Saccharomyces cerevisiae S288C: one gene and its partner. The protein of the gene in region 2 binds, or shares a complex with, the protein of the main gene of each other region. Each region holds a gene or a part of one and is shown on either strand. Other genes may lie near its edges. The genes, in order: SHE3 and MYO4. A codon is read from its position in the direction of its gene.

Region 1 (3,858 bases), on a different chromosome or scaffold from region 2:
TTAAAATCTCATTGTTTAGGCATTCCATACTCTGACACAATTGGAAGCTCAAGTCCTTTAGATAGTCTCTTTCACAAATCTTGTTGAAGTCCGGATCACAGACAATTACAATTAAAAAATCATCAAAGTACCAAAATAGGCAATTATAAAAATCCTCCTTGTCTTTGGAGTTTTCAAAGTTCAAATTCAGTTTCAGGGCTTGGTATGATGATGGCAACAGGTCTGAATTCAATGGGGAAATTAGGAAACCAAATCTCGAGTTGCCTATCGTCCCTCCAACAGCCTCTGATTGCGCCATCAGTGGGGCATTCGAATTTGCGTTATCATTGCTATTTGAGTAATTATTTTTGTCGGCACTTTTGTTAGAGGATGAAATGAACGGCCAATGGGGCTTCGGTACATAGTCCATTATCATGGATAAGCTACCCGAAACACCAGTCGTGGTACTCACTTCATGTATAGCGTCGTATGCAAAAGAAATGGGGAGTGTTACGTTGTGTATCACTCTTTCCGATAGAGAGAGTTCGCTTGTATTGTTTTGCGTAGTCTCTTGGTGCTCCCGTCGCTGTTGCTCCTGTGATTCCTCTTCGTCTCTTCCGTTTGTATCACGACTTCGCTCTTGTTCTTCTTCTACTTGTAGCTCCTCTTTAAAATGGACATTTCCTGTTAATATATGACTTGATATTTCACCATAGGTGCAGTGCAAATGATATAGCCAATTTGAGATATCTGGTAATGTGTTCAGGTCACTGGTAAAGTTCCTTACTAGTCCATAAGTTTTTGTTCCCATAGACTCCCTATTAGCCGCTTTGGTGCGCTTTGGTAGGTGGTAAACCAAAATGTCCTTTAGTCCTAGATAACTCTTTTTATCTAAAAGAATATTCTGCAAGATTATAGCGTCCCATGACTCTTCGACATTATTTTTTTCTCCAGGATTATAAGAGGAATGTTGAAAATTTGCCCTTTTATAAAAACCAGGCCACATTACAGTAAATGATCTATTCGTTACAGTTTCTAGATTCAAATAAATATCATTCCAGAACGGAATAACGAATTCGTTCAACAAATCCGTGAGTTTGCGGAAGTCCTTGTTAAATCCGCTGAATGACCCATTGAGTAGCTTGAAGAACCTGTAACTAAGCCATAAGTAAGCACTGAGATACTGTAAAGGTATGGCACTCTGATCGTCGCTGATATTCGAAATTGCTAGACTGATGAAAAATCTTGATTCCACCTTAATACAAAAAATAATATCATTGTTCAGCTCAATAATTTTCTCTAAATCTTCGCCGTCCTTGTTTACGCATGAACTCGTAAGTGACCAAATGCCCTGTATTACTCCTATGATGGACAGTTTTTCGTTTAAAGAGGGTATTGAATCAGTAGTGCCAAAATAATGGAACAGCAGCAACTGCTTGAAAGTGTCATTTTCGTTGGTAGATCTTGATGGATCAAAAACCGTAATATAGTGTAGTCTCATATCCGTCTTTCATATATCAATTTAATAGTTGTACGATTTAGAATGTATTTTTGGTTCCACGTCAAATGAAACTATTTCCCTATTGCTACTACATATTATTGTCATCGCAATAAAATAGGCTAAATAGTTACCCGCTCGTTTCGTCTTTTGTTCGGGCGAGAGCTTCATTACTAACTACTATTGCATTTTGTTTATTGATTTGTTGCCATGAGTAGCAGCAGTCTGAAGGGGTTACCAAACGTTAGCTCGTCTATCAAGCACGCCAAGGTTCAACGACACTACTTTTGTGTAAGATGTCGGACCAGGATAATACCCAGACTTCTTCAAGCAAGTTGGCACCTCACCATAATATTTTTATGGCAAACTTGGAAAGTTCCCCCACAAAAGATAGAAATACCTCCAGCCAAAATGCCTCATCTTCGAGAGTCATTGAATCACTGCATGACCAGATTGATATGCTGACAAAAACAAATCTACAATTGACTACGCAATCTCAAAATTTATTGAGTAAATTGGAATTAGCACAATCCAAAGAATCAAAACTACTGGAAAATTTAAATCTGCTGAAGAACGAGAACGAAAATCTCAACTCGATATTTGAAAGAAAGAACAAGAAGCTAAAAGAGCTAGAGAAAGATTATAGCGAATTGAGTAACCGTTACAATGAACAAAAGGAGAAAATGGATCAATTGAGTAAATTGGCGAAAAATTCTAGTGCCATTGAACAATCTTGCTCTGAAAAATTGCAAAATATGGAAGTTAACTATAATTCATTATTGGAGTCACAAAATCTTTACAGAGACCACTATTCTGATGAAATTTCCAAATTAAATGAAAAAATCGGTTTGTTGGAGTTAGAGTTAAGTAATCAAAATTTAAATTATGGTTCAGATACTAGTTCAAATTCAGATATAGAATTGAATTTAAATAAATTCAATGACTCTGTGAAAGATTTGAAATCTCTGGAAACAGAAAAGGATTCAAAATTAAGCAAGATAATCACTCACTCTTTAGATGAGTTAAATCTACAAAGCTGGCTAAATCTGTACCAGACGAACGAAAATCTGATATCAACTTTTGCTGAAAAGATGGATTTGAAAGACGTCTTGAAAAGAAACGATGAGAAGATTAGTAATAAAGGCGCGGTAGTACAAACCTTGAAGAAGAATGTACAAACCCAGGTGGAAAGCAACAACGCTGACGCTTTGAGTAGCAATAATGCACAGGATATGCTTCCTATTAAGATGGTCAAATTAAGAAAGACGCCGAACACAAACGATTCATCCTCCAATGGTAATAGCAGTAACAATAAAAGAAGAAGTTTCTATACTGCGTCGCCTTTGCTGTCATCGGGTTCTATTCCAAAATCTGCATCCCCGGTTTTGCCTGGTGTTAAAAGAACTGCCTCAGTAAGAAAACCAAGCTCGAGCAGTAGTAAAACAAATGTAACGCATAATAACGATCCAAGTACATCTCCCACAATCTCAGTGCCTCCCGGTGTTACAAGAACTGTTTCCTCCACTCATAAGAAAAAGGGAAATAGTATGGTTGTTCACGGGGCCCAATCCTAGAATATGCCGACACAAGGGAGTATATATATAGGATTCATTTAGATAATAGAACAAAAGTAAATAGATGCCTCTAAGGTTTTATAGACACGAATCCATATTTTTCACTTTCGGTCACTCACAACGGTTTTTTCTCTACTATAATGTGGCTGAAATTAAACGAACAGGCCAAAATGTGGTACGCAATAGTAGCCAGTAGGTGAATTAACCATAAATAATTACGCTAATTTTGCCTTGGTAAATTTCATAAGACCAATGATAGCAGGTGCGACTGCTCCGTCAAGTCAGCATGAAATTTTGATCGCATCGAATCTCATCAAGAAGCCATCAACGTCTCAAAATAAAACGCCGACAGCTCAATCCAGTTCAGGTAACAATGGAGCTGCTGATGGTGCACCGCAGGGTTACCATCATCACCATCATCACCATCGTCATTTATGGTGGCCTCGGACAACAGACCATCAATATTGGTGTGTCTTGAGGAAAAACCAATTTGCCTATTACAAAACTCGGGATGAAAGAGAGGCTATAAGTGTCATACCGAGATTTGACATACTTAATTTTAAGATAAGCGAGCTCGATGGTATATTAACTGTTTATACTCCATCCAAGGATTTAATATTCAAATTTCCACGAGGGCAAAATGAGAAGGTTGGTATGGAACTGATGCATAATTGGAAAATTGCCCTTGAAAAATTCCTCTCTAGTCCTAGTGGCAACGAAAGTGTCACTACAGGTAGTGATTATGATGAAGAAGAGGATGATGATGATTTAATTGTAGTTGACGAAAAGGCGGGTCCTTCTAGCAGC
Region 2 (6,739 bases):
CCAGGAGGTTCAAGAGGATCAACAGCCACTGACTGTGAGAATGACGTCGATGATGAAGACGATGAAGAAGAAGACAACGAAGATGAGGACGACTGCGAAAACGATGCATTGCAGGCGTCTTTTGGCGAAAGCCCAATGGGATTAGCAACGGCAGGAGAGGATTCGGAAGCTACAGAGGGCGGTCTTGAGGGCGAAACATGTTTCTTTGGTGAGCTTTCAAGATCATGGTAAAGCAAGCTCTGTAACGATATATCTGTCTGCGTGCTAGAACTCCCGTCTGATGAATGCGAATGATGTGTGGGTCGCTTGGAAGGCTTAGATATAACATTGGGCAATATTGGATCGAAAGCCGGCGCCAGTGCAGACGAATCCTTAGATTGCCCAGACGAAGAAGGCTCCATGGATTTCAAAAACCGGTGAACCAACCTTTTCTTGTCCTTCACGAAGGACCGGGAAGGTGATTTAAGACCGTACTTGTCGTTGTCTTTGTAATGGCGATGGGCTGGGTGCTGCTGGGCTTGCAACATCTTAAATGAGGGAAAATGGTCTTTGGCAGAGTATCCACCATCGAGAGGCTTTGATTCTACACTATGCTGCGGGAATGGTCCTTTAAAGGTGGCGACTACGTTAAATGGGTGTTTTGGCGAGAGTCCAGAAGACTTCATCGTACTGAGACTTCGTACTTTATCTGGTGCTGCGTTGAACATACAATCGCTGAACATTGCGGTCGAGGCAGACGTGTAATCCGGAATAACTTGACGATGCAGTTTATGACGAGCATGATGGTGCTCCATTTCATATTTCTGCTCTTTTTCGTGTAATGCAGCCAAATTACTGTGAGAGGCTTGCCATCCAACGTTTGGCTTAGTTTCAACAGTAGATTTGTGGCCAACATCTGGTGTTCCAGCGTCAATCATTTGCTTTACATCTTCCAGGGGTCTCTTTTCTACACCATCTTTGCTATTGCGATCTGTACCATCTATTCCGCTGCCTTTAGAAGAGCTCTTTATTTGAGCATTTTGCATTGTACCTGGACAACTACTGGACTACGTAAAAAACTGCCATCAATTTGTGTTATTCTTACTCTTTGAGACAATGTTTCATAACAATAGAACAATAGCTTTTTGACCTTCCCCTTATTTTATTTCAAAAGGTAACAGTTAGGGCTATTCTTAAACTTTCTTTAGGGTACACAATGAAAACATCAAGATTGAGTTAAAACCCTTAAAATAAAACTAGGTCTTTAAGAAACTCACTCTCCGGGTTATCCATAGAATGTTTACCATTCTTTAGGGTTCTGAACTAATGCGAAAAAAAAAAAAGAAAAGACTGAAAAATTCGAAAATATCTCGAAGTTTAGCAGTAGTAGATGAGAATAGGGTCTCTTTTATCGAAAACCTGCAATTGTAATACAACCTTTTTTTGAAAGTCAGCCTTTATTCTGATTCTGCATACTCAATTCCTCAATTCCTACGGAGTTATCACCTTTTTTTTTACCTTCTCTTCTTTTCTTATTGTTCTAGCTGAAAACATTGTTACCAGTTTGGCGAGACAATTTATTTTCAATACGATACCCTTTTGTTCTTCTTTTTATAATTCAATCTAATTCTAAAACACAAAAAAACAAAAAAAATCCTATAACCAGTTCTCCCGCATGTCATTTGAAGTAGGAACTAAGTGTTGGTACCCTCACAAAGAACAAGGCTGGATAGGCGGCGAAGTCACCAAGAATGACTTCTTTGAAGGAACGTTCCACTTAGAGTTGAAATTGGAGGATGGAGAAACTGTATCCATTGAAACAAATAGCTTCGAAAATGATGATGATCATCCCACGCTACCTGTACTACGAAACCCACCTATTTTAGAGTCTACTGATGACTTAACCACCCTATCATATCTGAACGAACCGGCAGTGCTGCATGCCATAAAAAAAAGATACATGAATGGACAGATATATACTTACTCTGGTATTGTCCTTATTGCCGCTAATCCCTTTGATAAAGTCGACCATTTGTACTCTCGCGAGATGATACAGAATTATTCTAGTAAGCGTAAAGATGAGCTGGAGCCGCACCTTTTTGCCATAGCAGAGGAGGCGTACAGGTTCATGGTCCATGAAAAGGCTAACCAGACTGTTGTAGTCAGTGGTGAATCCGGTGCTGGTAAGACCGTCTCTGCTAAATACATTATGAGATACTTTGCCTCAGTCCAAGAAAGCAACAATCGTGAAGGGGAAGTGGAAATGTCTCAAATCGAGAGCCAAATTTTAGCTACTAACCCGATCATGGAAGCCTTTGGTAACGCCAAAACTACCAGAAATGATAATTCCTCTCGTTTCGGCAAATATCTGCAAATTTTATTTGATGAGAATACTACCATCAGGGGGTCCAAAATTAGAACCTATCTCTTGGAAAAATCCAGGTTAGTTTATCAGCCAGAGACAGAAAGAAATTACCATATTTTTTACCAAATTTTGGAAGGATTGCCAGAACCGGTAAAACAAGAACTGCATTTGTCATCTCCCAAGGACTACCATTATACTAACCAAGGTGGACAGCCGAACATAGCTGGTATAGATGAAGCTCGAGAATACAAGATAACCACTGATGCCCTGTCATTAGTAGGTATAAACCACGAGACTCAGCTTGGAATTTTCAAAATTCTTGCAGGCTTGCTACATATAGGTAATATCGAGATGAAAATGACTAGAAACGACGCATCACTATCATCGGAAGAGCAAAACCTGCAAATCGCATGTGAATTATTGGGTATTGATCCCTTCAATTTTGCAAAATGGATTGTCAAGAAACAAATCGTCACAAGGTCTGAAAAAATTGTCACTAATTTGAATTACAATCAAGCGCTAATTGCTAGGGACTCTGTGGCGAAATTTATTTATTCCACGCTTTTTGATTGGCTAGTAGACAACATTAACAAGACATTATACGATCCTGAGCTGGATCAACAAGATCATGTCTTTTCCTTTATTGGTATTTTAGATATCTACGGGTTTGAGCATTTTGAGAAAAACTCATTCGAACAATTCTGTATAAACTATGCGAATGAAAAATTACAACAAGAGTTCAACCAGCACGTTTTCAAATTGGAGCAAGAAGAATATGTAAAGGAGGAAATTGAGTGGTCTTTCATTGAGTTCAGCGACAACCAACCTTGCATAGACTTGATTGAGAATAAACTTGGAATACTTTCTCTATTAGATGAAGAAAGTAGATTACCATCAGGCTCAGATGAATCATGGGCCTCAAAACTATATTCTGCCTTTAATAAACCGCCCTCAAATGAAGTTTTTTCGAAGCCAAGATTCGGACAAACGAAGTTTATAGTAAGCCATTATGCTGTTGATGTAGAATATGAAGTTGAAGGGTTTATTGAAAAGAATAGAGACAGCGTTTCCCTAGGTCATCTGGATGTTTTCAAAGCAACGACAAATCCAATTTTCAAACAAATTTTAGACAACAGAGAACTTAGGAGTGACGATGCTCCTGAAGAGCAAAATACTGAAAAAAAGATAATGATCCCAGCAAGATTAAGTCAAAAGAAACCAACCCTGGGATCTATGTTCAAAAAATCGCTCGGGGAATTGATGGCCATCATAAATTCTACTAATGTTCATTATATTCGTTGCATAAAACCAAATTCTGAAAAAAAGCCATGGGAGTTCGATAATTTGATGGTCTTATCGCAATTAAGAGCTTGTGGTGTGCTGGAAACAATCAGGATTTCATGTGCAGGCTTTCCATCAAGATGGACTTTTGACGAATTCGTTCAAAGATATTTCCTCCTGACGGACTACAGCTTATGGAGTGGAATTCTTTATAATCCAGACCTCCCAAAAGAGGCAATCGTCAACTTCTGTCAATCTATTCTAGATGCTACTATCTCTGATTCAGCAAAATACCAAATTGGTAATACCAAAATTTTCTTTAAAGCAGGAATGCTTGCATTTTTGGAAAAGCTAAGGACTAATAAAATGAATGAAATATGCATCATAATACAGAAAAAGATAAGGGCAAGATACTATAGGCTTCAGTATTTGCAGACCATGGAATCAATAAAGAAGTGCCAAAGCCAAATTAGAAGTTTGTTGGTTCGTACAAGGGTCGATCATGAGCTCAAGACAAGAGCTGCCATATTACTACAAACGAACATTAGAGCATTATGGAAACGGGAATACTATAGAGCTGCCATTGGGCAAATAATAAAACTACAATGTACCTGTAAAAGAAAATTGATTTTAGATAGTGTTAACAGGAAATTCATGCTCATGGCGGCAGTAATTATCCAAAGCTACATCAGATCATATGGTCACAAAACAGATTACAGAACATTGAAAAGGAGCTCCATTCTTGTACAAAGCGCCATGAGAATGCAGTTAGCTAGACGAAGGTATATAGTTCTGCAAAAAGAAGTTGAAGAACGGAATATTAGGGCTAGTTACGGGATTGGATTACTGGAGGAAGCTATCGAATTTAAGAACTCTTTCATTTTGAATCTAGAGATGTTAAATGACTCATATACAAGATTAACACAGTTGTTGCAGGGAGATTTGTCAAATATTCCATCTAAGCAAAGGCAAGAGTACGAAACGATAGTAAATGGTTATAATGATAAGATTTCCAAGCTGAAGACGTTACAAGTTGAAATCATGAATACTTTAAACAAGAAGAATGCCTTGAAGGAGAGAAAAAAGAAGCAATCTTCTTTAATACAGTCACATATGCAAAGTTTGGCTGCTATAAAAGGTAACAAACCTTCAAGATTAAGTGATGAAGTCAAATCAATGAAGCAAGAACTAGCGTTTATTGAAAACGTAATAGCACAAGATTTCACCACCACATATTCTGCTAATAAGAATGATAAAGTGAAAGGTTTGGGAATCGCAGGACAACAAGTAAAACCGAAGCTAGTCAATGTAATTCGTAGAGAATCAGGAAATCCTGATCTTCTAGAATTACTAATGGACCTGAATTGTTACACATTAGAAGTCACAGAAGGTTACTTGAAAAAAGTAAATGTTACTGAGGTGAATGGAGACAATGTTCTGGGTCCTATACACGTCATTACTACAGTGGTAAGTAGCTTAGTGAGAAATGGGTTATTGATTCAAAGTAGCAAATTCATCTCGAAAGTCCTATTGACTGTAGAAAGCATTGTTATGAGTCTACCAAAGGACGAAACAATGCTTGGTGGTATCTTTTGGTTAAGTAATCTTTCCAGACTTCCCGCATTTGCTGCAAATCAAAAAACATTATATGAAGCGAATGGTGGTGATGAAAAAGATAAGTTAACACTGATATATTTGAATGATTTGGAGAATGAAACTTTAAAAGTATTCGACAAGATTTATTCCACTTGGTTAGTGAAATTCATGAAGCATGCTTCAGCCCACATCGAGATCTTCGATATGGTTTTAAACGAGAAGCTATTTAAAAATTCTGGTGATGAGAAGTTCGCTAAATTATTCACATTCTTAAATGAATTTGATGCTGTCTTGTGTAAATTTCAAGTTGTTGACTCAATGCATACAAAAATTTTTAACGACACCCTGAAGTATCTGAACGTAATGCTATTTAATGACCTAATAACCAAATGTCCCGCGTTAAATTGGAAGTATGGGTACGAAGTGGATAGAAATATCGAGCGGTTGGTGAGCTGGTTTGAACCAAGAATTGAAGACGTTCGTCCCAATTTGATTCAAATAATTCAGGCTGTCAAGATATTACAGTTGAAGATAAGCAACTTGAACGAGTTCAAGTTACTATTCGATTTCTGGTATGCCTTGAATCCAGCCCAAATACAAGCAATTCTGTTGAAATACAAGCCTGCTAACAAGGGCGAAGCTGGAGTACCGAACGAAATCTTGAATTATTTAGCTAACGTGATCAAAAGAGAAAATCTGTCTTTGCCAGGGAAGATGGAAATTATGCTTTCTGCCCAATTTGACTCTGCTAAAAACCATCTGCGTTATGACACTAGTGCAATAACACAGAACAGCAATACAGAGGGCTTAGCTACTGTCAGTAAAATTATAAAATTAGACAGAAAATAAGAACAAAGTAAATATACGCCCATATATGTATATATGTATATATACATATATCCTACACTACATATGGAAGCTCCCTATATATATAGCATTGCGAGTGAACTTCTATCGACTAAAGTGAACAGCAATGGGGACGATGATTACAACAAGCAATATGATGATTACTAAAGCCAGACACATCTTCATTTTTAGATCCTTGTACCACATGGCTTTTCTGACCCTATTGGCACCCCTCTTAAAGCCTTGGGCTGAGACCGCTAGGTTATCGGCTTTATCTTCAATGGACGTTAATCTTTCACCTCTTTCTGCTACTTTATTTATGTTATCTCTCATTATTCCCACGGTATCATCAATTTCCTAAAAATAAACACGAAGAACGTATATGAATGTATACGCATAAGTATCAACGATGTAGAAAGTTAGTATAATGTTAATTTCCTAGATGGTACTCTGTGGCTTTCTGTACTTACAGCTTGTAGTTCCGCAGTCCTTGACTTAGACTGTACATTCTGGGGTCGTTCTTCATCGTGCTCGGATAGAGCATAAGGGTCAAAGGGAGTAGATGACGACATGGACAATGAATACGTTGCGCTTGCTATGTCTTTGGCGCAAATTTTCAATGTTTAACTAATACTTTTGACGATCTTTCTTATAGATGCTGTGGGAAAGACC

Evidence for each region.
Region 1: the proteins of MYO4 (region 2) and SHE3 are in contact, whole or in part, in a crystal structure (PDB 4LL8), measured with the Saccharomyces cerevisiae proteins. Residues at the interface, in NP_009373.1 of Saccharomyces cerevisiae: Leu1043 (codon at 4,781), Ser1044 (codon at 4,784), Val1047 (codon at 4,793), Met1050 (codon at 4,802), Lys1051 (codon at 4,805), Leu1054 (codon at 4,814), Ala1055 (codon at 4,817), Ile1057 (codon at 4,823), Glu1058 (codon at 4,826), Ile1061 (codon at 4,835), Trp1325 (codon at 5,627), Tyr1329 (codon at 5,639), Arg1350 (codon at 5,702), Ile1354 (codon at 5,714), Gln1358 (codon at 5,726), Lys1361 (codon at 5,735), Ile1362 (codon at 5,738), Gln1364 (codon at 5,744), Leu1365 (codon at 5,747), Lys1366 (codon at 5,750), Leu1376 (codon at 5,780), Asp1378 (codon at 5,786), Phe1379 (codon at 5,789), Tyr1381 (codon at 5,795), Glu1402 (codon at 5,858); in NP_009688.3 of Saccharomyces cerevisiae: Glu149 (codon at 2,218), Gln152 (codon at 2,227), Asn153 (codon at 2,230), Val156 (codon at 2,239), Asn157 (codon at 2,242), Ser160 (codon at 2,251), Leu161 (codon at 2,254), Glu163 (codon at 2,260), Ser164 (codon at 2,263), Gln165 (codon at 2,266), Leu167 (codon at 2,272), Tyr168 (codon at 2,275), His171 (codon at 2,284), Tyr172 (codon at 2,287), Glu175 (codon at 2,296), Lys178 (codon at 2,305), Leu179 (codon at 2,308), Lys182 (codon at 2,317), Ile183 (codon at 2,320), Leu186 (codon at 2,329), Leu190 (codon at 2,341), Gln193 (codon at 2,350).

What each region holds. Positions count from the first base shown.
Region 1 is NC_001134.8:494,785-498,642, reverse strand, and holds SHE3 (She3p), read left to right. Parts: upstream 1-1,773; coding exon 1,774-3,051; downstream 3,052-3,858. Other genes in the region: CCZ1 (Ccz1p), read right to left, coding at 1-1,480; OPY1 (Opy1p), read left to right, coding at 3,304-3,858. UniProt on the Saccharomyces cerevisiae protein: RNA-binding protein that binds specific mRNAs including the ASH1 mRNA, coding for a repressor of the HO endonuclease. Part of the mRNA localization machinery that restricts accumulation of certain proteins to the bud and in the daughter cell.
Region 2 is NC_001133.9:87,186-93,924, reverse strand, and holds MYO4 (myosin 4), read left to right. Parts: upstream 1-1,654; coding exon 1,655-6,070; downstream 6,071-6,739. Other genes in the region: FRT2 (Frt2p), read right to left, coding at 1-1,025; SNAP receptor SNC1, read right to left, coding at 6,173-6,424, 6,538-6,639. UniProt on the Saccharomyces cerevisiae protein: Part of the mRNA localization machinery that restricts accumulation of certain proteins to the bud and in the daughter cell. Recruited to specific mRNAs including the ASH1 mRNA, coding for a repressor of the HO endonuclease, via its interaction with SHE3.